7 linked regions of the Canis lupus familiaris genome follow. The protein of the gene in region 2 interacts with the protein of the main gene of each other region in a pairwise test. Links are inferred from orthologs where the notes say so. Each region holds a gene or a part of one and is shown on either strand. Other genes may lie near its edges.

Region 1 (3,824 bases), on a different chromosome or scaffold from region 2:
AGGTTAATTCCTTAACATATCAAGAGCTCTCATTTATCAATAAGACAAATGCTACCGTCCTAATTGGAAACTGTGCAAAGGACATATGGTTTAATGAAGAAGTAAAAATGGCCTATAAACATGAAAGTAAGTTTACCCTCACTGGTAATAATAGTGTTAATTAAAGCAGGAAGATTTGTTCATGTCTATCAGATTAACAGAGATAACATGACAGTATCCAGTGCTAGTGAGGATGATACAGGTCTATCAGTGAGGGTCTTTACTGTTACAAACTTTCTGGAAGCCAGTATTACATATTACTTTTTCTAAAGAGAAAAAAATATAGAAGGAAACTCCTGAAATATTAATGTAGGCTATTTTTCGGTTGTGAGATTTTGGGATATTTTCTCTATCTTCCATATTTTCCACAGGAAGAATTCATTATTCCTATAGTTAGAAAATGTATCTTAAAGTTCCTAAAGAGTGATAATCCATTGGTAAACCAACTTCTGTTTATTGAGATTAAAAATAATGGCTACAGAGGGTATACATGGTATCACAACCATGTAACAAAATGTATATATACCCATGTAGATAGTGTAGCATAAGGCTCTGGAATCTGCTAGAATTCAAATCCCAGCTCTGCCATCAACCTGGTGTATGACCCTGGGCTTGATAATGTCTGTCTCACAGGTTTGTTGTGTGAATCAAGCCAGATCAGAGCTTAGCACAGTGGTTGATTTGTATGAAGTACTTTATAAAAGTAGCAGCTGTACACATACAGACCAAGTCCAGAAGGAAGGATTATGGGAACATTATTTTTGTATTTCTATTGTCAGTGCTTTCTGATGTTCTGAGCTGTACATGTAATATTTTTGAAATAGGGAAATACATGTTACTTGGGAGAGAAAGAGTGATCCGAACACACCATCTACCTCATTAAAAAGCAGTTCTCGTCTCTGTTGCTTTCGGAGGTCCATCTTCTTCACTGCGACTTGTTTCCCTGTGTGTTTCTCAGTTGCAATGCATACAATGCCGGTTGACCCTTCTCCGATTTTGATAAAGTTGTCCAAGTATTCCCTGGGGTCTCCTGGGCTGACCACCAACTGCAAAGCAGCCCGAAACTGTTCATGGGACACCCTGGAGGGCTGCTGGTCTGAAGAGGATCCCCAGCTGGGTGGGGGGTAGGTGCTGGATGAGATACTCAGAGAGCTCAGGTAAGAAGCTGTAGAGATGTACTGTGAACTGGTCTGCAGGGAGGGGTGGTGGTACAGGGTGGCTTTGTGGTACCCAGATGGGTACTGGTGGCTGCTTGAGGAATAGCCCGCTTTGCTTTGACTTTGAGGTAGTTTGGCGGGGCCCCTGGGGTAGGTGTCAGACCCTGACAGCGGAGGGCTGAGGACCATCTGTGCTCGATCATAATCCACCTGGGAAGACAGACACAGATGGAGAAATATCACATGCTAGATCTGAATGCTGCAGTCAGCGAGCCAATTGAATCAACCTATAGCTGGCCTGAATGAAGAGGACCATACACAACATAGTTGTGGGTGATGCTTACCTTGTGAGGTCCCAGATGGCTCCTGCTTCCATCCTTTACCTACCCTACAACCTCCCTATTTAGTCTATTTCTTCCCTTTTCTTTACTCAAATCCCCAGAAGCAGACGATGAGACCTGAATTTAAATGCAACTGGTGGGAGGTGATCCCAGGAGTTATGAGGTGAGACAAGGAAGGGGAACATCAATAAAGGGCAAGTCATAGAGTATGATGGTTAATTTTATGTGTTAACTTGGCTAGGCTATGGTATCTGGTTGTTTGGTCAACAATATTCTGGGAAGGTATTTTTTAAAGATGTGCTTAACATTTAAATCAGTAGATTTTGAGCAAAGCAGATTGCTCTCCATGAAGTGGGTGGGCTGCATCTAATCAGATGAAGGCTTTACATGAAAAGACTGATGTCATCCATAGAGAGACTCTCTCTGTGTACACAAACACACCCCCTACTGGTCATCTTTTTGGTAAGCCCCAATATGCCACAGCAAGTTACCAATGAAGCAATTGTAATCTAATCCCACCAGCTAACTCTGTACCCTGGGAGACTATATTAAGCATATACCTTGAAGTTGTCCCATCTGAGGGGCCAAAAGATGGAGTATTTATGCACCAGATCCCTTCAAAACACTGTTTAACATCTGCTTCCATGAATATTAATTTCCTGGCACTCCTGATTTGCCTTATCCTGGGCTGACTAGCCTCCAGCAGATAGAGAAACCTTTTAGACCAGAATTTCTCAGCATTGGCACCACTGATTTTGGGGGCTAGATAATTCTCTGATGTGGCCAACTGTCCTGTGTGTTGCAGGATGTTTAGCAGCATCACTAGATTCTACCTACTAGATGCCAGTAGCAGCCACTTTGCCAGTTATGACCAAAAATGTTTCTTGAGATGTTGCTAAATATTCCCAGAATATGGGCAAAATTGCTCTTGGCTGAAAACTACTGCTTTAGACAAAGGAAAGCAGTGATGGCAGACAGAAACAATACGTGATGAAGGGATATGGTTGGGGCACCAATTATACCCACTGCTCCTAGGAAAGGGCCTTCTCCTACTCATGTGAAACACAGGGAGAGTTTTAATTAAAAAGTGCCTTATGCCAAAAAAAAAAAAATCTGCCTTATCCAAGGTGTACTTGGTGTATAGGCTCTGTTTTCCTTTGCAGGAATAAAAGATCCCATTTGTCATTAAAGGATGTTAGTCTTCAGTGAGAAATTTCAGGGGCAGAATGCCTTTCCCCATGCTTGTGAATTCATATACTAGAAGGGGGATATGTATTATCCACACGCATAACCTAGCAGATACATGTAAAAGGGAAAATACGGCTCTGCTAAGCAGCTTTTCAGTATGGACCATAAGGTAAACACATGCAATGTTCTCACCAAATAAGCAGAAATATAATTGAGAGTTGTCAAATTTTGCAGGAGTGTGTGTGTGAAAGGGAATTTGATCATCCCTCAAAAGGATTCCAGCAAAGAACATTCTACTTTAGTTTTGAAGACTAGATTCAGGGAACTCAGTGGAGAATAGGGACAGCAGAAAGAGCAGGGATGGGGGAAGTCAGCGGGAGTTTTGTACAACACTAGGTGTACATTCCAGCAATCACTCCCTGGGAGGAATCAGGGAGGACCTCTGACTAGCTCTGGAACAACTGAGGTCAGGTATGGTAAATATACCACATCATAACGTCTTCACCTCCTTGCCCAGGACAGAATACATTAATCAATCACTGCACCCTTGTGTGATATCCTGATGATGACACAGTGCTGGGTACACCGAAAGTGCTCAAAAAAGATTTTTTATTGGACTTTAGGCTCCTTCTTAACACAGCACCCTGGGAAGTCTCTACACTCTACTGGGATGTACATGAAATGACATGTACATGCCCCCATACCCCATCTAAGGATCTAGATCTACTCTAGTATGGTGGGTACTGACCACATGTAGCTACTTAATTGAAATCAATAAAAAATTAAATTAACTCAATTCCTTTGTCATAGAAGTCCCATTTTAAGTATCCAATAGCCATCACATTGGACAGCATAGATATACAACATCTCCATCATTGCAGAAAGTTCTGTTGGGTGAAGGAAATCCATTGCTCCCATGTAGTATACTCATGAATTTGTTTTGTCCACAAGTTAATTTTTGAGCCACTATTATGTGATAGGCACCTTTTCAGGTGCCATGGGAAGGTCCAGCAATAATATAAATGGACGGTATTTCTGCCCTTCTGGGGTTTACATTCTAGAGAGGGAGACACACAATAAACAAGAAAACCAATAAATG
Region 2 (4,319 bases):
CTGCTCCTCATCATCGGGGTTCAGCACCTTGCATTGCCTCAGGTAGGGCGTGATGCGCGAGGGGTCGATGACGGAGATGAGCTTCACTCGGAAGCTCTCCAGGGTACTCCAGCACTGGTCTTCGTTCTCATAGTCTGACATGGTGGCGGCCACCGCTGCGATTGGTGGGAGAGCAGCTGGCAGGGACAGTTGCATGCTGGGCCCAGGGGAGTCCAGGACAGGTAGGTGTGAAGCCTCACCCGCCCTGGCCCTCCCTCCTCTGCGCTGGTGCTCTGACCGGGGCACCAGCTCAGCCAGGGCAGCCCTCCCGGCCTTCTCTAGACCCTGCAGCCACTCCCTCAGCAGGTGACCTAGGCTTTCTCTGTCCAAGTCACCCTGATAAGTGTGAGGGAAGATGTGGAGGCGCTTCAGGGACTGGCGGCATCTGAGAATACCCCCCCCCCCACTGTGGCCTTGTTCTGGCCTCTGCACCCCCATCCCTAAAGCGTGAGTCTGGCAGACCACCACCTCGTACCCACTGGCAGGGCCTCCCTGGCAGGTACAGGGAGGTAGGCGCCCAGGCTGGGGAGGCACGCCTGGGGCATTGACCTGCCCACGTACACGCCAGCCTGTGCTGCTGTAGGACTTCCTCCTTCTTGGACATGGCTCCTGCTCAGGGCCTAGCCCCACCGCCTCCTCTCTTTCCGGCGGCTGGCTGGTGGTGCAACAGTGGCCCAGGCACCGGCTGGCTCAGGAAGGGCAGCTGTGGACCGCTGCACCAGGAGGGGCCCAGCTGCATTGGCATGGCCAGCACCCACGCCGCTCCTGTGCCCTCTGCAGACTCCTAGGGACCAGGCACCAGCCACCTCTGGGCTCCTCTCCCTGTTCCTGGGCACGCAGGGTGCCAGCTCCCTGACCAGGGCCATCCGTGTTGGGACTACCCACTGCTGCTCCCTTCCACTGGCGGGCACAGACCACGCTCGAGGCCTGGGCCAAACCAGGAGCCTCCTCCCAGTGGTGGGGACAGAGACCCTGACTTGCCACCTCAGACTGCCCTCAGCCAGCGTAGGAACTGTGGGCGGAGGTTTGCCACCCAGAGGAGCTAGGCCATACTCCCAGAGACAGACGGCAGCAGGCAGGGCCTCTGGAGGAGCTTCCTGAACTTCCTGCAGCCCTTGGCCACACCATCCAGCCAGAGAGACACCAGCAACTCAGTGGATGGCCCTTGGAACGTTCAGCCCGCTTCCTGCCTTTCCCACCTACATCCACAGGTCCCACACCTGACCCCTGCCTCTAATTCCACCGAGCTGAACAAGCAGGTCTCAGGTGGCTGTGAAGGACAGGGCAGGAGTGGAGGCCCTGGGTGCTCTTCTGGGGTATGTGCCCCAGGAGCCCTGAGCAGAGAGATGGGTGTCTTCCTGGCCACCCTGAGAGGGCAGCCAACCAGCCTACCTCAGGGTCCTCGAGAGGCACCTGTGCAGTGGACACTGGTCAGCCCAGGCTGGCCTGATCCGATGAACAGGAGGTGCTGCTGGCAGCCCAGTGGAGCTCAGGAGGAAAAGCTGTGCACTTCCTGATGGTGCTGCTCAGCTCCACAGAGCCGGGAAGGTCCTCCCAGAGGGAGTGGGTCCTTGGGCCTGCCTTCTGATTCGCCCGCCTGGCAGGGCCCAAGAGGCGGGGCAGAGGGAAGTGGAAGTCCTGCTCAGAGGCCTGGAGGCCCACCCCTGGCATCCACTAAGTGGAAGTGTGAGCAAGGACCCTCCCCGGAGCTGGATGAGGCCAATGCACTGTCTAGTCCGCTCTGGCCTGAACGCAGGCTTCTGGAGGCTTCTCCACCAGGGGCTGGCTGGGAACCTGCAGCGTGGGCCCTCTGCAAAGTGCAGGAGATCCCAGGGCTTCAGGCCTAACTCTGGGATTTCAGCCAGATGCCCACACACACAGTAGGCCAGCCGGGCCTTGATCACATGAGGGCTGGTGTAGCGTCCAGAAGGCATGTGGCTGGAGACCCCACTGTGGCCTGTCCGTGCTTGCCCCACATGGCCACCGGCCCCTGCTACACTGCACACCCTATCCCTTCCTGGGAGTGTCTCCACTTAGCAACCTCTTTACTAGGACACTCGGGACTGTGACAGCAGGCTCCCAGGCCACTCATCATGGCCCCGCAAACCAGTTTCAGAAGGGCTGTTTCTGCCATCAGAGCTGCACCCAATAGCCAGGATAGCAGGCCTCCAGACCAGGGTCTGCCAGGAAACCCCCAGGCCAAGGCCTCACTGGCGCAGCTGGGCCGGTTGGTCCAAGTTGTTGGCTGCCAGGCTGAGGCAATTGCTAGGGAAAGGCCAGGATGGTCCTGAGCAGGGCTCCCAGCCCCACCTTCCCATGGCAGCTGCCTCTTGCCTGACAGGCTCCCCGCCTGTAGGCTCTCGGACCTCTGACCCTGGGTGGATGGAGGCTGCCATCGCGCTTCCAGAACAGCCAGTCCTGGGCCCTCCAGGAGCTATGACCAGCAGTGTTTCCCTGCTCTGCAAAAGCAAATTAATAAAGGGTGTCTCCCCCACGGGGGTGTTGGTAAGAATTCAATGACAGAAATGTTCTGTTCTCTGTATCAAAAGCCAGAAATCAATAACAAAAGGCTAACTGGAGAATCCCTAAACGTTTGAAAATAAAATAAGAGACCTCTAACTAGCCATAGGTCTAAAGGAGCCCCCAAGGAAAGCAGAAACGAGCTGAAAAAGCCCCAGGTGCAAACTGAAAAGCTAAGAGCTTGTGCATGAGGCTGCACGGTGGTGGGTCAGCCCCCTGGTGGGTGGGTACAGCACCCCAGGGCATGCTCACACCTGGAGAGCACAGGCATGAAGCCTCTAGAACCAAGCACCTCAAAAGGCTGCACACCAAAGCCAAGGCTGTGCACCGCGTCCCTCAGAGCACCAAGGGTGCTGGGGCTTGGCCTCCCACCAAGAAGCAGCTGCTCAGGAGGAAGGCAATGCCGGCCTGGGGCCGCTGCGTGACTTGTGGGCAGGCGGGCAGCCGCTGGTTCCAGATGCCTGCCTGGGTCGGCGGTGTGGTCAGGAAGGCAGTGAGGCAGGTCCACCCCATTCCCTGTGGCCCCACCAAGGCAGCAGCTGCCTGGTAGCTCTTGGCAGGCCCTGGGGCTTGAGCCACAAGCGTGTTCTGTGCAAAGGGCACTCCCCACGTCCTACACGGTGGCCCGGAGCTCAGGGGGTTCCTCAGACCTCAGGGCCCAGCCATCCGGGTCCTGGCACGGTCAGGGGAGCCCCAACCCTCTGCCCAGTCTCTTAAGGCAACAAGAATCTGGGGCTTGCCTTTTAATAAAAAAATAAGCCATTCACTTTATTCCTTCAAACATTCCTTCCGATTTGTGCTGGAGGACTAGCCAAGCCCCAGTGGCTTCACGGTCACACGGCGAAGCCTCCCCCAGCCTCCAACTGCTTTAGGCTGCTTCCTCCGGGAGGGTTGGAGCTGGGCTCCACAGGCAGGTGGGCTCACTGGGGTCCAGCATGGCTCCCGCCTCCTGGAACACAGAGATGCCCAGATGGTGGGGACACCCTGACCCCAGCCAGACCCCAGAGATGGTGCTGTAGGATAGGAACCAAAGGTGGCATTAGGCCTCCTCCGAGGGCGCAGAACCGGGTCTGGCTGCCCACCTGCAGTCCATGCAGGGGGCCATGCTGAGGGCAGGCCCTAGAGCCTGGGTGGGCTTCTGATGCCCCCACCCCCACCCCCAGCATCCCCTCTGTGGACCCTCTCAGGGCGCAGCCCCACTACACTCGCAGGAGCTGGCTCCCACCTCTGTAGACCAGACATCTTCCCCCACATGGGATCTCTGCACCATGAACTCAACTAATCCGTACTGAGGGCCTACTTGATGCCTGCTCTCTGGGCACTGAGGACCCGGCAGCAAAAACCAAATCATATCACCGCCCTTAAGGGCTCACGTTTATGGCAGACACGCATGTAAACCATGTCGGGTGTAGAAGAGACAGTGCTAGCAAGACAGACATTGACAGTGGTACTGCCCCAAGAGAACAGGCAGAGAGAGCATCTCTGAACAGCCAAACACTGAGCAGACATGATTGGGATAAGGGAACAAGCCTTACAGACATGGACGAAGGCCAGGCAGAGGGGACAGCAGTGCAAAGGCCCCGAGGCACACGTGGGTCAGCAAGAAGGAAGCACCAGAGCCTGGAGTGTGCAACCCAGTGGGCGAGGGTGTAGCTAGGGGAGAGGGATTACATGGCCCTCCCCACAAACGGCTCCCATAGGCCTGTATAACCCTCCCCATCACACTTGATGTGAGCTCCTAAGGGCGATGATAGTCTGCC
Region 3 (4,391 bases), on a different chromosome or scaffold from region 2:
TCTTCTCCCACTTGCGCCATCCAGTGTGTGTGGAGCTGCTGATGGTGCTGTGGGTGGTGCCCACCCTGGGCACTGACCGCCTCCTCCTTGCTCTCCTCCTTACCCTGTACCTGGGCCTGGCTCATGGGCTTGACCAGCAAGACCTCCGCTACCTCCGGGCCCAGTTACAAAGAAAACTGCACTTGCTCTCCCGGCCCCAGGAAGGTGAGGCCGAGTGAGGAGCTAACCTGGTCCCAAGCCCTTTAACATCTGGGCTCTGGCTGCTTCAGACCAGAGGCCCAAATCTATGGACTGAAGGGGCCATCCCTTCCCCTGTTTGAGCCTCCACTCCTTGGGCCCAGCTCCATACCCTAATCCTGAATTTCAACCACTGGACCCCAAGATCTACTTCTCACCAAACCACGGAGGAAGGGTGGGGAACTTCAGTATTTCCTCACAGTTTAGGCCTTGACCCACCTCCACCCCACCTTAAGAACAGTCCTTCTAAGGAAGAAGGGTGGGCCTGCCCACTTCCCTCCCACTGTTGCTCCCTTCTACACCTCAGGGATCCCCTTCTCCCCCTCAGGCTTCCCTTCCTAGGAGTAGGATCAGGGTCTGCAGGTTTGATGGTAATGCCAGCTCTGCTGACTCACCTAGCCCCTCCTTAGGCCTTGCCCCTCCTTAGGCGCTGGCCCTGGGCTCTGTCCTCTAACCTGAGAGGATCCTCCCGCCCTTCATGTTGGTGACTAAGAGATCTCTGCCCTCCCGAGGAACGTCTGCGGCGGAAAAATAAAATTCAGCCCGTTTTTTCTACATATGGCATGCAGTCCATCAGTGTGTCTCTAACTAGAGGGCTGACTTTGGAAGGAAGGCCAGCAGAGCCCAGGCACGCCGAAGTCGAGTCCGGACGGCCACCGCGCCCTCTGGCGACCGCTGGGCGGCGGCCCCTCGGGCACACCCCCGAGGCCCAGCCCCCTTCCTCCAAGTCCCCAGTTCCCCCGCCGTGGACCGGGACCCATGGGACGCGGGCTGAAGCTAAAGACTGGGCAGCGGCTGTCGTGGGGGCCAGTTACCAAAGCCGTGGGCTTCCGAGTACGTCTCCGGGTGGCCGCCCGGGACCCCGCAGTGACGCAGGCTGGCCGGGAGAGGCCACCGCCTGGGGAGGGGCGGGCCCGGCCGGGGCAGCGGCTGCTTCCTCTGCGAGTCCCTCGAGGGGCCTGAGTCGCGGCGGGCGCGGCGGGCGGGGCGGGCGGGGCGGGGGCCAGGGCCTGGACACCTGCGTTCTCCGGGGCTCGCGGCAGGAGGGCCGGGCCGGGCCGGGGCTCGGGCGCGAGAAGGGGAGCCGGGGAGGCGGGGCCCACGCGCGGGCTCGGGAGCCGGCCCCGCCCCGCCCCGCCCCGCCCCGCGCCGCCCCGCCCGCGCCCCCTTCCCTCCCCATTGTCCTCAGACAAAGCGGTCGCCGCCCCCCGCCCGGCCCCGGGTCGCGGTCACCCTCCCGCCTCCCCGCCCGCGTCTCCGGCTCTCCCTCGGTCCCACTCCTCCTCCCTCGGACGCCTGCTCCTCCGCACCCCTCCCGTGGGAGCCCCGCGCGTGTGAGTCGGCTGCGGGGCTGCGGCCTCGGGGCGGGGGTGTCTCGCGCCGCCCGCCCCGGCGCGGACCTCGGGCTCCTCCCGTCGAGCCGCGGTTGCCTGTCGGTGCGCCCCGAGCCGGGGGGACGGCGGGCTCCGCGGGGCCGCTGAGCCGGGAGCCGGGCCTGGCGGCAGAGCCGGGGCGCGGAGCCGGGGCGCGGCCCGGGCCGGGGGCTGCCGCAGGAGGGGCGGGGGCGGGCGCCGGGGTTCCGGGAGCCCCGGGGTGGGCGCACCCGCGCCCCGCGCCCCGCTGCCTCCCCGGACGCCGGCTCCTCCCGGCTCCCCGACGCCGCTCCAGTCCCGGCTCCCTCCCGGCGGGACTCCCGGACCCCTCCCCGCCCCCCCCGCCCCCCGCCTCTGGGGCGGCGGTGGGGAAACCCGGCCTGGTCCTCCTCCTCGCGCCGCCCCCGCCCCCGCTCCCCGGCCGCTCCGGGCTCTCGCCTCCCTCGTTACGACTCCTTTTCCGCCCTTCTCTCCGCTCACATCCTCGGGCCTCCCCGATACCATGAACCCCGCGCTGCCAATTCTGACTGCTGTCTCCTCGCCCTGAATCTCTATTCTTCCTCTCAGGGCCGCGACGCCACCTCCGCCGGGCCCACTGCTTTTTCACTTTCTGTTTCCCCGTTACTTTGCCCTCCATCTTCTCACTCTTCCCCTCCCGGGCCTGGGCCCATCTCGGTGTCCCTCCTCTGCCCCTCTGCTTCCCCTCCCCCTACCCCCAGGACCTCTGGAGCCTCTCTTTCCTGTTCTCTAGCCCAGCACTTCCCACCCCTACCTCCGCGCGACCATGGCTACCATCCCGGACTGGAAGCTACAGCTGCTGGCCCGACGGCGGCAGGAGGAGGCGGCCCTTCGTGGCCGGGAGAAGGCTGAGCGGGATCGTCTGTCCCAGATGCCAGCCTGGAAGCGGGGAATCCTGGAGCGCCGCCGGGCCAAGCTTGGTCTGTCTCCTGGAGAACCTAGCCCTGCCCCTGGGACTACAGAGGCTGGACCTCCAGACCCAGATGAGTCGGCTGTCCTCCTAGAAGCCATTGGGCCGGTGCACCAGAACCGATTCATTCGGCAGGAGCGCCAGCAGCAGCAGCAGCAGCAGCGCAATGAAGAGTTACTTGCAGAGAGAAGGCCTGGGCCTTTGGAGGCCCGGGAGAGGAGACCCAGTCCTGGGGAAATTCGAGATCAGAGCCCCAAGGGAAGAGACTCAAAAGAAGAGCGGCTCAGTCCCAGGGAGGCCAGAGAGAGGAAGTTGGGGATAGGGGGAGCCCGAGAGTTGAGCCCCAGAACTTCAGAGGCTTGGGACTGGAGGCAGAGCCCAGGAGAGTCTGGAGACAGGAGCTCTAGACTGTCAGAGGCACGGAAATGGAGGCTGAGCCCTGGAGAAACTCCAGAGTGGAGTCTGAGACTGGCAGAGCCTGCAGAACAAAGCCCCAGGAGAAAAGAGGTGGTGGAAAGTAGACTGAGCCCCGCAGAATCTGACAACCAGAAGTTGGAGCTGTCAGAGTCCCATAAATGGAGGCCCGACTCTGGAGAGTCTCAGGAACAGAGTTTGGTACAACGGGAGGCATCAGGGTGGAGGCCCAGCTCAGAAGAAGAAAGAAAAGACTGTTTGGAGGAATGTAGGAGAAAAGAAGAGAGACCAATTCCAACACTGGCCTCAGAAGAGATTACAAAGGTGTCAGAGACCCTGACAAGGGAGGCTCCAGAGAGCAGCTCTGGAGAGGTGGAGGCAGCAGAGCAAAGGCCCGGCCCTGTGGAGGATAGTGAGAGGGGCCTGAGGCTGACAGAAGGCTGGAAATGGACCCTGAACTCTGGAAAGGTTCGAGAACGGACACCCAGGGACACAGAGACTCAACCTCAGAAACCCCCAGAGGCTGCTGAGAAGTATCTGGGGCCTCTTGGTACAGAGGCTGGAGAAGGGGAGGCTGAGAAGGAGAAGGCAGGGGCTCTGAGCAGGCCTCTGAGAACCCTGCAGAACTGTAGCTCTGTGCCCTCCCCCTTCCCACCAGAGGACGCTGGGACTAAAGGCTCTACGAGGCAGGAAGAGGAAGCGGTGGATCTCCGGCCCCCACCAACAGCCCCTCTGTTTCCCCTACCCCCAGCCCCACCTGCTCCCCAGTCCCCTGGGGATCCCCTCATGAACCGTCTGTTCTATGGGGTGAAGGCAGGGCCAGGGGTGGGGACCCCTCGCCGCAGTGGACACACCTTCACAGTCAACCCCCGGCGGTCTGTGCCCCCAGCAGCCCCCAGCACTCCCGCCACCCCAGCCGCGGCTGATGTTGCAGTTCCTGGAGTTGGGAAGAAGCGGTACCCGACTGCGGAGGAGATCTTGGTTCTGGGGGGCTACCTCCGCCTCAGCCGCAGCTGCCTTGTCAAGGGGTCCCCCGAAAGGCACCACAAACAGGTAGGGAGCAGCCCTCAGACTTCTCAGAAGCCTCAGCTCTCTCTGGCCTCCTTTCTTTTTTATAGCCCTGTATTCTTGTCTTCCTCTATTCTTTCTTGTTAATTCCTGCCACTACCCTTCCTCCTCTATGCACACCCTTCCTTCTTGTTGTAGCCCTCATTTTCCATTCATTTCCAAGCCCAAGGGTTCTGTCCCAAATCAAGTGCTGTCCCTGGGTGTGTCTCCCAGGGTGTGCCCAGGCTGCTCACTCTTCACCCTCGGGCTCTGGGTCCTTCCTCCCTGCCCCTTCAGCTCCCCCTCCCCTGGGCCGCCCCATTTCTTCCCTTCCTCTGAGCCGTGCCAAACCCAGCCCTCCTGGTGGGAGAGTCAGACTGAGGCTCCAGCCT
Region 4 (3,824 bases), on a different chromosome or scaffold from region 2:
TCATCCCCATTATTTCACAGATCTAAGAAATTCAATACCTTAATTAAATTATTACCTTGGCCCTATTACCCCTCTCCAAATTCTTCCTCCTCCCCCACTAGTGCATGAAATCACCATCCACTAACCTGAGCAAGATAAAAATCTAGGCAACATGCCAGACCCTTCAAGTTATTTATACAATCAATATTATCAATCACTAAGACCTACCTATTCCACTACTTTAAAATCTCATGCCCATCTACTTCTCTCCATTCTCACTACTGTAGTATTAAAGGCCATAAACATTTCTCAATCAGATAATTTCAGCAGCCTCCTGTTAATAGGTCTCCCTGCTTCCAATTCATTTTCTACATTGAAGAGCTACCTTTCTTAATACAAATCTGATTATTTTATTCCTATGCTAATTTTTCAACTACTCATCACTACCCTTGTTATAAAGTCTAAACTCTTTAATGTGGCTAACAAGATCCTACGTGATTTGGCCCTTCACTCTCTTAACAATTTTTCTCGCCAGGCCCCATCCAATACTCAAAGTTCCAAGTGGACTGAACGGAGTTGTTTCAATACTACGTCGAATTCTCACTTCCAGGCATTTAACATACTCTTTCCTCAGTGGGACAACTCACTCCCACCCTACTTTTCTCACTGACTACATATTCTTCAAGTCTCAGTTTGGTACCCTGTATTCTAGGAAGCCTTCCCTGACTCAGCAAATTAATGTTCTTCTTATGCATTGCCAAGGCATCCTATACTTCAGTTACAAAAAAAAGTTGCCACACTTGAAACTTTTTTCTACAACAGACTATAAATTCCATGAAGACTGAGACTTTTTAAAAAACTTATTTTCAGTGACTAGTGCAGTACTAGCACAATGTAATTGCTCAATAAAAATAAAAGGTTAGAGGTAAAAAGGGTAAAAATATAAAGAAAGAAGAAAAAAAGTCCTTACATGTTCTGTGTGAGCCATTCCAATTCCATCTTCTACTATTTGTTCTCCTCCTTCAATGTGCTGAACGATTCCAACTAATTTTCTGGAATAATCTGAAATTTCCTCAGTGAAGGTCCGTATGCAATGAGCCATATCTAAAATTGATGCTCGGATCTGGTTAGCTTCTGGTTCCAATACTGAATGCTAAAGTGCAACAAAATTATAGAAAAGAACTCACAGTAATGACTAATGACATAAAATGCTATTTAAATCACTCCAATGATAAAAAAAAAAAAGAGAGAGAAGCATCAACCACAAATGGCTTTTATAACACATATATAAAAAGCACAAGATAACAAATACTAATTTACCTTCACCCCAAAACTATTTATCCTTCAAAGAAATAATTTAGAATTTGGGAATCCATTTATTGTTAAATAACAGTCCAAGATGGGGCACCTGCGTGGCTCAGTTGGTTAAGCATCCAACTCTAGGTTTCAGCTCAGGTTTGTGAGATCTCAGGTTTGTGAGTTCCAGCCCCATATCCTTGCCCCCATCAGGCTCCATACTGGGCATGAAACCCACTTAAGATTCTCTCTCTCGGGGTGCCCGGGTAGCAGAGTGGGTTAAGCCTCTGACTCTTGGTTGCATTTCAGGTTGTGATCTCAGGGTCATGGATGGAGCGCCACATCTGGCTCTGTGCTCAGCACAGTCTGCTAAAGTTTCTCTCCCCCTCTTCCTCAGTCCCTCCCCCCACCATGTTCCCTTTCTTTCTCTAAAATAAATAAATATTAAAAAAGATATTCTCTCTCCCTACCCATCCACCCTCTCCCTCTCCTTCCCTCCCTCCCTTTAAAAAAAAAAGAATCCAAGAGACTCACTTTATAATTTTACCATAAACATCAGTTCATCAACAGACATAAATATTATCAACACAATCCAGTACATTATAAAAACATGCACACATAGAAATTTTGTTTCCTTCTGGAAAGCTATTCTTTAGTGAATAAAAAATCATAAAGCCTCTCTGAAATTTTTGTTATGACATTCAGAAATTAAATCTTTCATTTCTTTTCACGCTACCAAACTCAATTCATTCATCACTGAACTCTTCTTCAATCCCTACTTGGCATAAAGAACCAGATCAATGGAAACAAATGGTAGGCTGGTAAACTAGATAGAGTCATCCAGTCTAATTATATTCATACCTTGTGACCTTGGTGTTTTCCATATTCTTTGCAGACACAGCACATAAGTGGGCTAGTTTGACAGCCTTCTTCCAAGCAAACAAACTCAATGGCATGTACCTGATGCTGAGAGCACATGGTTTTCTCATGAGGTTTATCAGCTAGAGGTACTCGTCTGTGTTTTGCTAATGTCTTTGTAGAATGAGTAACTTGAGAACACTCTGAGCACAAATGAGTTGCACATACAGTGCAATATACAGACGCAACGTGAGCTTCATCTTCATCGCAACGAATGATGCTCTAATAAACAAAAAATTAATGTCTTCAAACTGAACCTCAATCACTGGAACATGACAAATTTTAAAATATAAAAGCCCAGAATCTTTTCTGACTGACCAAGCTTTATATATGAAATACTGGTAATTAAGTAAAAAGGTCATTTACAATTCATCTAATAAAGTATTCATTTCTATAGGAAAGTGATAAGCTATTTCCAAAATTGATTATCAATATATGCTATGAATTTGAGGCCAAAAATAAAACTGTTCTCAGAGATACACAGTGTAAAGATATCTTCCACGGAGTCCTTTAATTTTACATAAAAGAAATTGAACAATAAAGGCTGGAAATCTTTTTAGGACTAAAAAAACTGATAACAAATATATCCCCACTGCTTTATTTTTTTTTAAGATTTTATTTTTAAGTAATGTCTACACCCAAAGTGGGGCTCAAACTTAAAACCCTGAGGTCAAGAGTTCCATGATCTACTGAGATAGCCACGTACCCCTGACAACTGCTTTAAATACTACTTAACACAGAGATACATAGAAAAAAAGAGAAATCCAAATGTTATTTTGAGACGATGTGTAGACAAGAATCAGCTACAAAGTTTTTAAAAATATAGATGCCCAGACTCTAACCTAGGAAATACCTATTCCAATAGGCTTAGAAGCCTGAGCTGGGTTTTTTTTTTAACTCCACAGGTGAGCTCACTGCACAATCCTGGCTGAAAAAGCACTGAGTTAACCAAATAAAAAATAAATAAAATCTATGTTGTATATAAGCTTTTAAATATTATTTCTAATTTTCATGAATTACAAAAAGCATTCAAATTAAAAAACTTTACATGTTAGATAATCAAGAATGTTTTGAAACTTACGCTTAATAAAGGACCATAACTGGAAAGGGAGAAACTTGGAATAAATTGTTCCAGAAATAAAAATTAGAAAATATATCAATGGTGTCATTTAATATCACATTAAATTAAGAAATTAAAAAAAATAAAATAAATTTAAAAATAAATTTTAAAAAGTAAATTAAGAAATGAACTCAAAGGTAAACATTTTTACTTGCAATTTTGAGAAACACATACACATAAAACTAAAAATTCATGTCTTCTGTTTTCCAGACATGAAAAATAATTTACAAGGTCAATATTAGACAATATTCTAATGTCTTTTGAAAGATAAAGATATAGCACATGAAAGAACTACAAACATTTTAGAAAACAGTGCTCCCCACAACTCTGTGGTCAACTAATATTCAACAAAGCAGGAGAGAATAGCCAATGGAAAAAACACAGTCCCTTCAACGAATGGTGTTGGGAAAACTGGACAGCCATATACAGAAGAATGAAACTGGACCGTTTTCTTACACCATCCACAAAATTAAATTCAAAATGGATTAAAGACCTAAATGTGAGACAGGAA
Region 5 (4,514 bases), on a different chromosome or scaffold from region 2:
GCAAAAACAAAAACAATGCCAGGGCCTTGTCCCAGAAAGAATGGATGGGAATCCCTGAGGGTAGGCCTGGCTATTTTCTCAGCTGCCCAAGTGACTCTGATTTAAAGCAGAGCTGCTGCCACTGCTCTATACACATACTAGCACAAGGCCCTCCTGCTACAGGACCGACTCAGTTACACTGCCATCAGCCCAAAGACAGCTCCTGACCTGCTCCTCCAGTGAATGTATAGAACTTCCCTGCTTTTGGATTTTGCTGACTGAGCCCCATTAGGAAATATTAAAAACACCTCCTGTGCACAGCTCACCTGAGACTCTTCTCTACAATTATAACTGGTGGTTGCAATGTCTTAAGCGTCACGATGCACCCAGTTCCCCGGACTTATTCCCTCCCTTACCTCTTAACAGCAGAAGGCAATGTACATTTATTGAACTGTACGTGCCACACACATTTATGTCATCTCCATCCTTGCGATGACCCCAAGTCAGGTATGTGGCTTATCTCCATCTTCCAGATGAGGAAGCCTGTTAAAAAAAAAAATCATAAAAATTTTTTTAAATTTAAAAACGTCTTTAAAAAAATCAAATATTTGTGATGGCTTTTCACTGTGCAGACTACATTAAAATTATTTTTTTAAAGATTCTCCTTAATCACAAGAGACACACAGAGAGCGACCCAGAGACACAGGCAGAGGGAGAAGCAGGCTCCCTGCGTGGAGACCGATGCAGGACTCGATCCCAGGACCCCAGGATCATGCCCTGAGCCGAAGGCAGACACTCAACCACTGAGCCACCCAGGCGTCCCTAAAATGTTTTTTATTGTCTGCTTTCCCCACAAGACCATAAGAGAATGATGTCTGTTTCATTCACGGAGACACGCCCAGCAGACACCTGGCCAGTTCTTACTATTACTCAACAAATTCTTATTAAATGAGAAAAGAGGATCCAGAATGCTTCCTCTCCTCTCTGCTTGTACGCCCCATTCTTTTTTTTTTTTCAAGATTTTTTATTTATTTGGGGTGGAGCACAACCAGAGGGGAGGGGCAGAGGCAGAGGGAGAAGCAGACACACCCCTGAGCAGGGAGCCTGACGCGTGGCTGGATCCCAGGACCTCAAGAGCATGACCTGAGCCAAAGGCAGATGCCTAACTGACTGAGCCACCCAGGCGCCCCTGTACACTTCATTCTTTCCACTACAGACCAGCTTGCTCGTACCCACTGCACCTAAGCTCACTGCCCCTCAGCTTCTTCCACATGAGCCAACCTCATCTCAATTCTAGTTCGAAAAGTTATGTAAAAGACAAAACAAAAAGGAGTAGCAGCAGTAGCAGCAGCAGCACCATGGTGCCCACTGTGGGTTGAGTGGACTGCAGAGATCAAGCTTGTGGGGATAAGAAGGGTCAAGAAGCTAGAGTTCACAGAAGCCGAGGGGCGTTGAGCATGTTCCGTAAGTTTCTTGATGATTCTGTGCCTCAGTTTCTTCATCTACAAAACTGGGGAAATTCCGCATCTTAGGCTTAATATGGGAAATAAATGAGATAGTCCTTATAAAGTCCTTAGAGCCATGCCTGTCACACAGTAAGCCTACATGACAATTACACAGGACTATAATTAAAAGATTCACGTGACATGGATCTCCATGGCAGGCACTGTTGTACAGAACTTTGTTGTTTGTTGGCGAACTTCTTCTGGAAAAGGCCAGATAGTAAATACTGTAAGCTGTGCAGGCCATCCAGTCTCTGTATGGACTACTCAAGTCTGCTGCTCTGGTAGCAGGAACAGCAGCCATAGACGACACATAAAAGAATGAGTATGGCTTTGCTCCAATGTTTTTCAAAGACAGGTAGGCTGGATTTGGCTGTAGGCCACAGTTTGCTGAGCCCTTTTAAAGCAGTGCTATCCAACAGAAATACAATGCAAGCCACAGATAAAATTTAAAATTTTCTAGTACCCACGTTAAAAAAATAAACAAGTGAAGGTTACAGCATGTTACCTAACCAGTGTATCCAAAATACTGCCACTTCAACATGTAATTAATAAAAACAAATTGTTGATATTTTACATTCTCTTTTTCATACTTATTTCCCCCAAATTCGCTGTTTGACACTCTGACGCATCTCAATTAGGACCAGGAACATTTCAAGTGCTCCATGTAGCTCGTGGTTACCTATGGGACAACACAGTTCTAGAGCATATGCTAATACAGATAACGCTTACGTGCACACCTATTGCCCCAGCTTCTGAATATACATGAAAATGAGTCTATGCCGGGCGGGCAGGTGCAGGCCCTACATATCTGTGGACTGAATGCATAGAAAAGCTTGTTAATATTAACTAATATGGGCACGCTGCACACATCTGCACACATCTGGCTTAATCCCCGGGGGACACGAGCGATCAAAGAGAAATTTTGTTTCTAGTCATAACCCACGCACAGCTCTGCAGCTACACAGGGGAGCCCCTTCCCCCAGGGAGAGAACCGATGCCAAACGCTGGGTCGGGGCGCCGCGGTTTCCGAACAGCCACGCAACACTGCGCTAGTGTCCCTTCGTGTTAGGACGCCCCCCGGCACAGGTGCAGAGGGCGGAAGGGAGCAGCGCAAGGGCCCGCGGGGGCTCGGGTTCGGGAGAGGGGCGCGGGCCGCCAGCTCGGAGGCGGCGGCGGCCCCCGGGGATCCGCCCACCCCAGCGACGTCAGCCCGAGAAGAGGCGCGAGGGCGCTACAGGGCCCGCCCGCCCCGGGACGCACCGCGGCCCCCCGCGCCCTCCCGGAGCAGCGGTGAGCGTCCCCGAACAGGGGTGCGCGTCCCCGAGCGCCGCCGGGCACACACACGCGACAACCTAGAGCGTCGCTCACCGAGAAGCGCACACGCCCGGGAATCTCCGGAGACGTCGGCGCCGGGACAGAGCTTCCGGCACGCGGGGCGGGGCCACCGAGGCTCCACCAATCCGAGGCCGGCGGCTGGAGACCGCAGGCCGGGCGCATGCGTGCTGGGTACGTGGCGTCTGCGCAGAGGGACCGGCGGCCGTCAAGCCCGCGCCGCCGCTCGCTGTGGGGCGGCCCCGGGCGTGGCGGGCGACGTGGCCCCGGGGCCTCCTGAGTTGAAGGCAGCTGCCCCCAGGAGCGTTTTTCAGCTGCGAAGTGTGTTGAACTAACTCCACGGCGTACGCTTTGTGCTTTCAGTCAAGGCAGTGCTCAGCTGAAAGGTTGACAAAACGGTGGCCGGATGCGATTGATTTCATGCAGTAATTAATTAACAAGTATGTATTGCAGCCCTAGCCCGCGTCCCTTGGTAAGGAAGTACTGAACATTCACCAGGTGGCCGTGGCACCGCTCATCCGGACACATCCTCTCCCTGCAACGGTCCGATAAAATCAAAGCGACGGTAAAACTCGGGGCTTTAGTTTCAAACGGCTATTACTGCCGCACGATGGTTTCTATCACAACTAAGTGAGACACCAATGAATCTAATTGGTCGAGCAGGGACGCTCCATAGGGTATAACAAGAAACTCATTTTTTCTCACCGCTGCTCTGTTGGCTCTCCTGCCCCTTGGCTGCTCCAGGGCTGGAGCTTGAGCAAACCGCGCAGCTTTCCCGGTCACTTTCAGGTTCAATGAAACAATTTGATGAGTGTTGTGGGTTGAATGGTGCCCCGGCCCCCAAGATAGATACAGCCACTTCCTAAATCTGCCTCCCCCAAACCTATCCAGACAACTTTACTTGGGAAAAAATGGGGGGGGGGGGGCTTTGTAAATATAATTAAGGATCTGAAGATGAGACCATCCTGGATCACTGGGTTGGGCCCCAAATCCAACGAGAGACAATCCTTGTAAGAGAAGACAAGACACTGGAGTTGAGTGAAGGTCATGTGAAGACAAAGGTGGACATTTGACTCTAAACAGACCTGTATTACCATCCCTTCCTCCTGCTGCCCTTACCCTGGAGAAACCAGAAAATAGTGCAGAAAGTGTGCAATAGGAGAGTGAAGAACTTAATCCACATAACGTTCCCTTTGCTCTTCCACAGAGTTACAGGTCACACCTGAACTGAGAGGGAGCCAGAGCTTTGAATTGGATGACTGATTGAAGTTTCCATATTAGATTAGGCTGGCTTTTTTAACCATCTAGTAATAAGATAAACTTCTAGAATTCTAACAGCCCTCTCCCACTCTTGCCTTCTCCTATACACGAGCTGAAGGGGGGTGAGGAACCACAGGACGCAGAAGTAGTTTCGGGCTCTCCACCTAGCCTGTACGGATGGTACACTGTGTCTCTTTAGAACCAGAGGACACTCAGCCCTATGCTCAACTTTGGGGCCCTGGGCAAAACCCTGAGTCAAGAGAAGTCTCATTTAACACCCCCTTCTACCTGCCGTAATCTGGGGTCATTTCCATACGGCTTATTCTTTTCCACGCCGTTGGTCCCTCTTGCTCATTTCTTTAGAATGAGTCATTCTACGACAGACTTATGACCACAGATTAGCAGAGAAGTGCAAGGCCAGCAAGCACGGCTCCTGTC
Region 6 (3,805 bases), on a different chromosome or scaffold from region 2:
AGCAGGTGAGCTGTGAGTGCCACACTGAGAGGTAGGCTTTATCCTACAGTAAAAAAGGACTTGGAGGTTTTGACTTAGAGAAGTTACATGAAAATGCTGTTGGAGGAAGTTGGGAGTCCTGTTCTTATAGCAGAAGTTCATTGCCTAAGCGTGGTTTCTTTTGAGAACTCGTCCTAAATAAAACGATTGCTAATATACCGTGTTTTATAATTGTTTAGGATGAAGTCAGATTCTTTCCTGCAGGAAATGCCACGTGTAACGAACATGCCTCGCGGAGACCACATGATCAGCGATGGCCAGGGCATTCTTGCAATCAACTCGGAAAAGCAAACGCAGGAACACGGAAAGAATCTAAGCTGCACCGATGTACCCCTGAGCGGGGCTAGGAAAAAGGGTGAACTGGGTACGACCGATCTGCAGAGAAATGAAGCTCCACCGCTTCCTCCTCCGAGAAGCACATCCCGAAACTTTCCCAGCTCCTGTGCAGAACGAGCTCCTGGGAGTCTGAAGGGAGGTTTAGGCCGCAGCAGCCTGGTGGCCCCGGAGGGTCACGGTGGAAGGGGCCGTGGTCCTGACATCCTTCGGAGGCCCCGGGCGGCGCCTGGGCTGGGAGCAAATGAAGGGCAGGCCCTGCAAGGTGGCATCGTGTTTCCTTCTCTGGCGCCCAAAGCCAAGATAGAGGACAAGCCTGCATGTGAGGACCGTGTTGGGCTGGGCGGCTGGCGTGGTGGCGGTGGGGTCGCCGCACAGAATGGTCCCTCTGCATCCTGCTGTCCCGAGAGCTGGGAGGCGCTGGCCCCAGGTGGCCCGGCCGCCTCTCGCCCCGACGACCTTGGCTCCGCGGCCACCGAGGGCAGTGGCCCGCTTCGGGGTCTCCGCTGTGGCTTCAGGACCACCAGGAATGAGAAGCTGGCCGCCAAGACCGATGAATTTAACCGAATCGTGTTTAGAACGGATCGGAACTGCCGGGCAGCGCAGCCCCCGCCGAGCCACCGGCCACCCCCCGGGGGGCCCGGACCCACCGCCCCGGGGGCCGCGGGGGGTGACGAGGCGTCCGGGGGTCGGCCCGCCGGTGCCCAGGGGCCCGTGCCCGGGGCGCAGGTGCCCGACCGCCCCGGCCCCCGCCCCGGCCCCGGCCCCGGCCCCCGCCGCCCGCTGCTCCCGCGCGCCTGGGGGCCCCGCAGCCTGGCCGGCCGCCCGCGCTCCGCCGACCCCCGCTCCAACTACGGCGTCGTGGAAAGGCTGCTCCGAGGCCACGGGGCTGCCGCTCCGGCCGCCTCGCCGGGTCCCCAGGGCCTCCGGGAGGAGACGGAGGGAGACGGAGGCCACCCCACGGGCCGGTGGGCCGCAGGCGGCACTGAGGTCAGGGGCGGGACCACGGTAGGGCGGGGGCCGGGGATGCGGGGGGCGGGGGGGTAGGGGCCGGTGGGGGGAGATGCCTGGGCCGGGGATGCGGGGATGTGGAGGGGGATGCCTGGGGCGGGGATGCGGGGGGAGGGATGCCTGGGGCGGGAATGCCCGAGGGGGGTAGAGGGATGCCGGGGGTGGGGGGGGGGGGAGGATGCCAAGTGCGGGGATGCCCAGGGCGGGAATGCCCGGGGAGGGGGAGGGGGATGCCCGGGGGTAGGATGCTCAGGCGGAGATGCCTGGGGGAGCGGGGATGCCTGGCGAGGGTGATGCCCGGGGCGGGGATGCCCGGGGTGCGGATGCGGATGGGGGGGGGGGTGCCCGGGGCGGGGGTGCGGGGCAGGGATGAGGGGCGGGGGCGGGATGTAGATGCCAGGGGCGGGGATGCCTCAGACGGACGGGGAGGCGGGGGACAGGGATGCGGGGGATGCGGGGGTGGGGACGCGAGGATCCCTGGGGGGGATGCCCGGGGCGGGGATGCCCGGGGCGGGGATGCCTGGGGGGTCGGGGATGCCGGGGGTGGGGGGGGGGATTGGTGGGTTGCCCGGGCAGGGATGCCTGGAGGAACGGGGATGACGGGTGCGGGGATGCTTGGAGCCGGGATGCGGGCGGAGGGGCGGTGCCGGGTGTGGGGATGCCCGGGGGGGGAATGCCTCAGGGGGGGAATGCCTGGGGCGGGGATGCCCAGGGTGGGGATGCCCGGGGAGAGGATGCCTTGGCGGGGATGCCTGGGGGGCTGGGGGGGGCGAGGATGCCGGGGGGGTGGGGATGCGGACGGGGTGGGGGGTGCCGGGTGCGGGGATGCCCAGGGGGGAATACCTGGGGGGGGCGGGGATGCCTGGGGCGGGGGAAGCTGCGGGGATGCCTCGGCGGGGATGCCTGGGGGGGGGGGGCGGTGCCTGGGGCGGGGATGCCCGGGGTGGGGGGGAATGCCTGGGGTGGGGATTCCCAGGGCGGGGCTGCCTCGGGTGCAGCAGGTGCTCGGGCCCAGGCCAGCCCCGCGGGCCGCCGGCCAGGGGGATGAGGAGCACCTGCCCAAAGCCCTCGGAACTGCCGGCCGCCGCCCAGGGGCTAGCCCAGCGCCCTCCAGACGTTCTTAACTTCTTGACCCTTTATTTGTGATTAAGTATAGACCTTAGGACTCTAACACCCCATCAATTCTTAAAATCACCATCAAATTCTTAAAGTCTTCTTTTAAGACTGGGAATAGGACATGATAACTTTTTTAAGGATTCTGAAATGGGACGATGTAAATAAATGGACTCGGGAACTTCCAGGTCAGATGTCTGTTGTAAGTTTCTCTCTGGAAGAAAATGTTCCAAACAAACAAAAACCATTCCAAATGAGCGTTATTGGTCTATAGCATCCTATTCTTTTGGTGCTTATACTTTTATTTTTTTAAGATTTTATTTATTTATCCATGAAAGACACAGAGAGAGAGGCAGAGACACAGGCAGAGGGAGAAGTAGGCCCCATGCAGGGAGCCAGACGTGGGACTTGATCCCAGGTCTCCAGGGTCAGGCCCTGGGCTGCAGGCGGCGCTAAACCCCTGAACCACCCTGGCTGCCCTGTTTTTAAAGAGTGTTGGAAACCTTAAAAATAACTTCTTGCACTTTTCAGTTGTTGGCTACGATTGGTTCAGTCATTCCTGGCATCTGATTCGTGTTCTTTCTCGTGGGGATTAGTCACACATATGTGACTGTAGGTCTAACACATCATAAAATAATGCCTCATAAAGTTCTCTTATTTGTGGAGCAGAAAGGCAGCACATGGGAATAAAATGATATTATAGCTTAAAATTTTTTAAGGCCATTCTTGTGTGAATTCTTAGCCTGAAAATTGCCCTCCCCAAAAGTAAGTATTCATTTTTTGTTGTTCTTTTTTTGGTCTGGTCTGTTTGCAAAAGAATACAATCTTCATTTGTTATAGGAGAAAAAGATGTCGAAGAGATTGATGTTTGCAATAAAGAACCACCCAATGATCCCTTTTAATGCATAATTTACAAAACGTTGCATGGTGACATATTATCACAATTAACTAATACGTCGAAAAATCCTACTGTTGCAAAATGCAGTGTGTATGCAGCATAGTTTTAAGCTGTGCGGGTTGCCTCCTTCTGATGTAAAAAAAAATATCGTGGCTTTCAAACCGCATAAAAATACCAGTTTTATCCATTTCACTAGAAACTTTGCCTTTTTGCACAGGGTACAAATAATTACCCTGGTTTTGTATTTTTCTGTATTTTAGTTGAGTCCATGAATACTTAGGAGGCCGTATCGCTTCAGATGGCAAGTGGAAACATGTATAAAATAACCAGCTAAATATTCATGAGCTACATTTTTGCTTTGTTTGGAGGTTTAGGAGGGGTCTTCTATTATAGATTCTTACGAATGGTTCT
Region 7 (4,518 bases), on a different chromosome or scaffold from region 2:
ATCAGTCTATTCTCTGTATTTATAGGTCTGATTCGGCTTTTTATCTATTTTATTTTTTAGATTCCACGTGAGTGAGATCATATGGTATTTGTCTTTCTCAGACTTACTTCACTTAGCTTAACACCCTCTAGGTCCTTCCATGTTGCGGCAAATGGCAAAAACCTCATCCTTTTCATGGCTGCATTAATATTCCACTGAACACATATTTAGCATCTTCCTTATCCATTCTTCTATTGATGGACACTTAGGCTGCTTCCCTATCTAATCATCAGGAAAACGCCCATCAAAACCACAATGAGGTATCCCCTCACACCTGTCAGAATGGCTAAAATAAAAGACAACAAACAAGTGTTGGTGAGGATGTGGAGAGAAAGGAAGCCTCACATACCACTGGTGTAAACGCACACTGGTACAGCCACTGTGGAAAACAGTAGTAGGGAGGATCCTCAAAAAATTAAAAATAGAACTACCTTACGATCCAGTAATTTCACTAGCGAGTATTTACGCAAAGAAAACCAGAACACTAATTTGACACTTACGTTTATTCCAGCATTGTTTACAACAGCCAAGATATGGAAGCTGTTTTGTTTCTGGATGCCCACTGCACTGCTGGGCTCCAGGCTCAGCTCTTCACACACATGCTGCGCTGCTCAGAATGCCCCTCACGGCGGGTCCACGGGCTCTACTCTCCCTCACTGCCTGACCATGCTCAAATGGTTTCTGAGTAAGGCAAAGCTCACGGCCAGACCTTAGTGCTGTAACTAAGGTAAGGGCCATGAGCATCAGGGGAGCTGCAGGAGGAGGCTGGAACACACAGGCAGCCAAGTGATCAAGCAGGCACTTACACTGTATCATAAAGTGCTTCTAGAACCTCCTACACTTGCCCAGTTGAAGCAAGGTGGGTTTAATTTACAGCCTCTTGAGAGAGGCTACGGTCCAGGGAGAATGAAGAATTTTGAGAGCCACAATGAATGCAGAAGAAAATGCTACAGAAAGCTAGCTATTTCGACTGGCCATACCACTGCTAAGGCATAATATAAACCTCCAGGAAACTAACTCTCAGAGAAACGTAATTTGTGTTTGCCAGAGATCAAAGTAATCCAAGAAAGAATAAGGCTCTCCCCGGCAATTCCAAGAGTAGGGTGTCAATGGAAACCCGCTATAGGAGCACAGGGACACGACTGTCTCGTGGTAACCACACGTTCCTGCACGGCACTGCGGTGTGGACGGTGGCTGTGCAGGACCACCTCTCCCCTCCCAGCCACATGGGAGCACTCTGAATACAGCCTGGACACAGGCTGCAAGCCCTGAGGTTACAAAGGAAATAGATCTGATCATGTGAGGCCCTCTTTATTAAAAAAAAAAAAAAAAAACTATTATAGAAAGGGCTTAAACAGTAAAAGTGATCTAGGTAGCCTCATTGGTTCTTAAAACATGAAGCAAAACACTTATAAAATAAAATGCTCGACAATTAACTGCTATCACCAATCTCAGACCATATTCAAATAAAAGAATATCTGAACCAAGATCCAGGCTTCCAGAAGACCGTGCCTTCCATGAAAGGAAGCATCTGTACCTGTTTCCCTGATTCCAGTGAGTCAAAACTATCACAGCTCTCCTCTGATGAGAGGGTTTCCATGGGAACATCATCTCGGAAACCGACAAACTCTTCATCATCACTGGGGGCGTTAAAGATGTCAGCCACTTCTTTAGGGATCTGTTTTGGATTCAAAAAAGAAGAAGGATAAGACCGAGGGCTGTTATAATCACTTAGGGAAATTTTCTAGAAAGGAGGAGGGATTAGCATCTACTAGCTCTATCAATCTACTAGGTCGCAGATCTGCCATGGTCACCAAGAAGACCCCAGTTACCCCGGAGCAAAATGTGCTTCAGCTGATCCCTCATGGCAACAAAAGAAGGTAGGGGAGGGAAAGATTAGACTGTTTTTCAAACTCTAGAGATATATCCTATCTTACAGAGAATGTCAAGGCCATATCTAGATGGAAACCCTATGTGATCTCTACACAAAAAATAAAGGAACAGTCATCATTTGTGAGAAAACAACTATTTTTCTCCTGCAGTGGATCTGTCTTTAAATGTCATCCATGTCGGGATCCCTGGGTGGCGCAGCGGTTTGGCGCCTGCCTTTGGCCCAGGGCACGATCCTGGAGACCCGGGATCGAATCCCACGTTGGGCTCCCGGTGCATGGAGCCTGCTTCTCCCTCTGCCTGTGTCTCTGCCTCTCTCTCTCTATCATAAATAAATAAAAATTAAAAAAAAGAAAATCTTTAAATGTCATCCATGTCAAAATAAGATGATACTAATAAGCTCCTCTTTTCCTCATTTCCACCTATTGGTCTTTGATTTTTTTGCTCTTTGTCATCTGCTGATTCAGACATGAAAACTCATACATTGAAATAAGTAGCTTTGTTGCTCCTTTTTTTCCTCTCAATCAAGTAGTTTCAAAATTAATTTCAAGAGAATGTAAACACTACTGTAGGCAAGTATTCCAAGAAGGAATGTTATCAGCGCTCTTAATCTAACAAGTATGTATGTATTAGTTCAGAATTCATTTTCATATGCTGACTACCTATTTGTTCCCAACTCTCTATTTTGAACAAGTTCAAAACCATAGAAAGCGGGCAGCCCTGGTGGCGCAGCAGTTTAGTGCCGCCTGCAGCCTAGGGCATGATCCTAGAGACCCTGGATCAAGTCCCACGTTAGGCTCTCTGCATGGTGCCTGCTTCTCCCTCTGCCTGTGTCTCTGCCTCTCTCTCTCTCTCTCTCTCTCTCTCTCTGTGTCTCTATGAACAAATAAAAAATCTTAAAAAAAAAAAAAAAACATGGAAAGCTGAAGGAATAGGACAACCATCTACATATTCTTTACCTGGAGTCCCCATGTGTCACCACCTTTGCTTTCTCTGTCAACAAACATTAAGTGGAACCATCAGCATTTGCTAGTATTTCACAGTTTTTGACCTAAAGAAATAGCCATTTATTTAGTACGAGCCAGCTTATTCCACCTATATTTAAATTGCAGACATCATACTAATTCACCCTCAAATACTTCAGCACACATCGCCTGAAAATAAAAACATTCCCCATTCCCCTTAGATCCGTAAAACTACAATCATACCTAAAATAATTCACATTAATTCAATAGTATCATTCAATACAAGCTCATATTTAAATGTCTACAACTGTCCCAAAATGTCTTTTTTAACTTTAAGGGGGCTAAAGGGACCCATTCAAGCAAAGATCATGCATTTTATTTTTTTTATGACACTGTTTTTTGCTGCTTTTCGTAACACTGATATTACTTAAATAACCCAAGACTACTGCCTTGTTGAATGTCATACGTTCTGAGTTTATCTCATTGGTCACTGATATACTTTACTGAAATATTTTTGGCAACAATTCTATACAGATGACATGCACTTCTCAATGCAATGCATAAGGAGGCACAAAATAACAAGTTATCCCCTAGTAGTGTTTTTTAACGTAATTATGAAATTTTTCAAACATAATCCCAAGTAGGTAGAACAGCATAGTGAACACACACAGGGACCAGCTATCAAGCAGTCCTGCGCCCATGGCTAGTCTTGCTCCAGCTGTATCCCTATCCAACTGCCCTCCTTCCAAATTATTCTGAAGCAACTGAAGATAATAGCATTTCACCCTGTGTCATCAGGAAATACATAGTCTGTCTTCACAGTTCCGTCAACCTATTTTTTTTTTTTTAAACTCACGGTTTATTTGTATCATGATTTGAATAAGGTCCATACATTGATCAACAGAAAAGTCTTTTCTTATGGATCCTTTTTTTTTTTTTCCTTTGGCAACTTATTTTTTTAAAAAACTGGGTCCTTTCACTGTGAGGTTTGCGAGAGTCTGGAAGGTTGGGGTTTTTGTTTGTTTTTTGCAGCTGCAAGATGGTATTTAGTAGACTCCAACATCTCCTGGGATTTCCTGTGATTCGGTATTTAGAGTTACAGGCTGTCAGATTCAAGTTCACTTCTTTCTGGCAAGATGACTACTTCATAGGTAGTGCTGCATTCTTTACTCAGAAAGCACCTAATGTCTGGCCATCTCTGGTCTTCAGTGGTGATGCTCTCTGATCAAGTTACGGCAGGATGTGTCATATTTCTCCTTAGCAAAAAGACCTTTTCCTCTTTGTATTTAGTAAGAAATAAGTAGGGTGATAGTTGACCTTCTGGGATTATCCTTCCCTGGTTAATTGGTGATTAACCAATTCACTGAGTGGTTTCAGCATCCACTGATAGATAACTCTTATTTGAATCAATTACCACACATTAGCGATTGTACAATGGTCGTTTTCAAATTCTATTCGTTCTTCATGTATTAGCTGGCATTCTTCTCCAACACAATATTCTCTCTTTTGCTGTCTCTCCCTCCCTCTGCTTCTCTCGCTCCCATGTAGATTTATGGAATTTTAATTTACCGTGCTATATAATCCATCACTGTCACTGCTCTTTCTGATGTTCAAATTGTTCTAA

Evidence for each region.
Region 1: the proteins of CARD9 (region 2) and PAK5 interact in binary tests that used the Homo sapiens proteins (3 or more experiments, as listed by UniProt). The two-hybrid records come from large-scale screens. The link is inferred for Canis lupus familiaris from reciprocal best matches to the Homo sapiens genes CARD9 and PAK5.
Region 3: the proteins of CARD9 (region 2) and PPP1R18 interact in binary tests that used the Homo sapiens proteins (3 or more experiments, as listed by UniProt). The two-hybrid records come from large-scale screens. The link is inferred for Canis lupus familiaris from reciprocal best matches to the Homo sapiens genes CARD9 and PPP1R18.
Region 4: the proteins of CARD9 (region 2) and TRIM23 interact in binary tests that used the Homo sapiens proteins (3 or more experiments, as listed by UniProt). The two-hybrid records come from large-scale screens. The link is inferred for Canis lupus familiaris from reciprocal best matches to the Homo sapiens genes CARD9 and TRIM23.
Region 5: the proteins of CARD9 (region 2) and TCEANC interact in binary tests that used the Homo sapiens proteins (3 or more experiments, as listed by UniProt). The two-hybrid records come from large-scale screens. The link is inferred for Canis lupus familiaris from reciprocal best matches to the Homo sapiens genes CARD9 and TCEANC.
Region 6: the proteins of CARD9 (region 2) and KIAA0408 interact in a two-hybrid assay, tested with the Homo sapiens proteins (2 studies listed by BioGRID and IntAct). The two-hybrid records come from large-scale screens. The link is inferred for Canis lupus familiaris from reciprocal best matches to the Homo sapiens genes CARD9 and KIAA0408.
Region 7: the proteins of CARD9 (region 2) and CDCA7L interact in binary tests that used the Homo sapiens proteins (3 or more experiments, as listed by UniProt). The link is inferred for Canis lupus familiaris from reciprocal best matches to the Homo sapiens genes CARD9 and CDCA7L.

Annotation. Positions count from the first base shown.
Region 1 is NC_049245.1:13,105,203-13,109,026, reverse strand, and holds part of PAK5 (serine/threonine-protein kinase PAK 5), read right to left. Parts: intron 1,407-3,824; coding exon 915-1,406; intron 1-914.
Region 2 is NC_049230.1:49,108,742-49,113,060, reverse strand, and holds the start of CARD9 (caspase recruitment domain-containing protein 9), read right to left. Parts: upstream 2,892-4,319; 5' UTR 1,432-2,891; intron 197-1,431; 5' UTR 196-196; coding exon 1-195. UniProt on the Homo sapiens protein: Adapter protein that plays a key role in innate immune response against fungi by forming signaling complexes downstream of C-type lectin receptors.
Region 3 is NC_049233.1:625,280-629,670, reverse strand, and holds the start of PPP1R18 (phostensin), read left to right. Parts: upstream 1-1,437; 5' UTR 1,438-1,571; intron 1,572-2,361; 5' UTR 2,362-2,394; coding exon 2,395-4,005; intron 4,006-4,391. Other genes in the region: NRM (nurim), read left to right, coding at 1-204, 665-696.
Region 4 is NC_049223.1:50,579,236-50,583,059, forward strand, and holds part of TRIM23 (E3 ubiquitin-protein ligase TRIM23), read right to left. Parts: intron 2,416-3,824; coding exon 2,137-2,415; intron 1,133-2,136; coding exon 950-1,132; intron 1-949.
Region 5 is NC_049260.1:10,112,780-10,117,293, reverse strand, and holds the start of TCEANC (transcription elongation factor A N-terminal and central domain-containing protein), read right to left. Parts: upstream 2,956-4,514; 5' UTR 2,853-2,955; intron 524-2,852; exon of another isoform or gene 523-523; 5' UTR 396-522; intron 1-395.
Region 6 is NC_049222.1:66,692,915-66,696,719, reverse strand, and holds part of KIAA0408 (uncharacterized protein KIAA0408 homolog), read left to right. Parts: intron 1-218; coding exon 219-1,101; intron 1,102-1,173; coding exon 1,174-1,362; intron 1,363-3,805.
Region 7 is NC_049235.1:35,878,698-35,883,215, forward strand, and holds the start of CDCA7L (cell division cycle-associated 7-like protein), read right to left. Parts: upstream 2,981-4,518; 5' UTR 2,937-2,980; coding exon 2,889-2,936; intron 1,718-2,888; coding exon 1,577-1,717; intron 1-1,576. UniProt on the Homo sapiens protein: Plays a role in transcriptional regulation as a repressor that inhibits monoamine oxidase A (MAOA) activity and gene expression by binding to the promoter.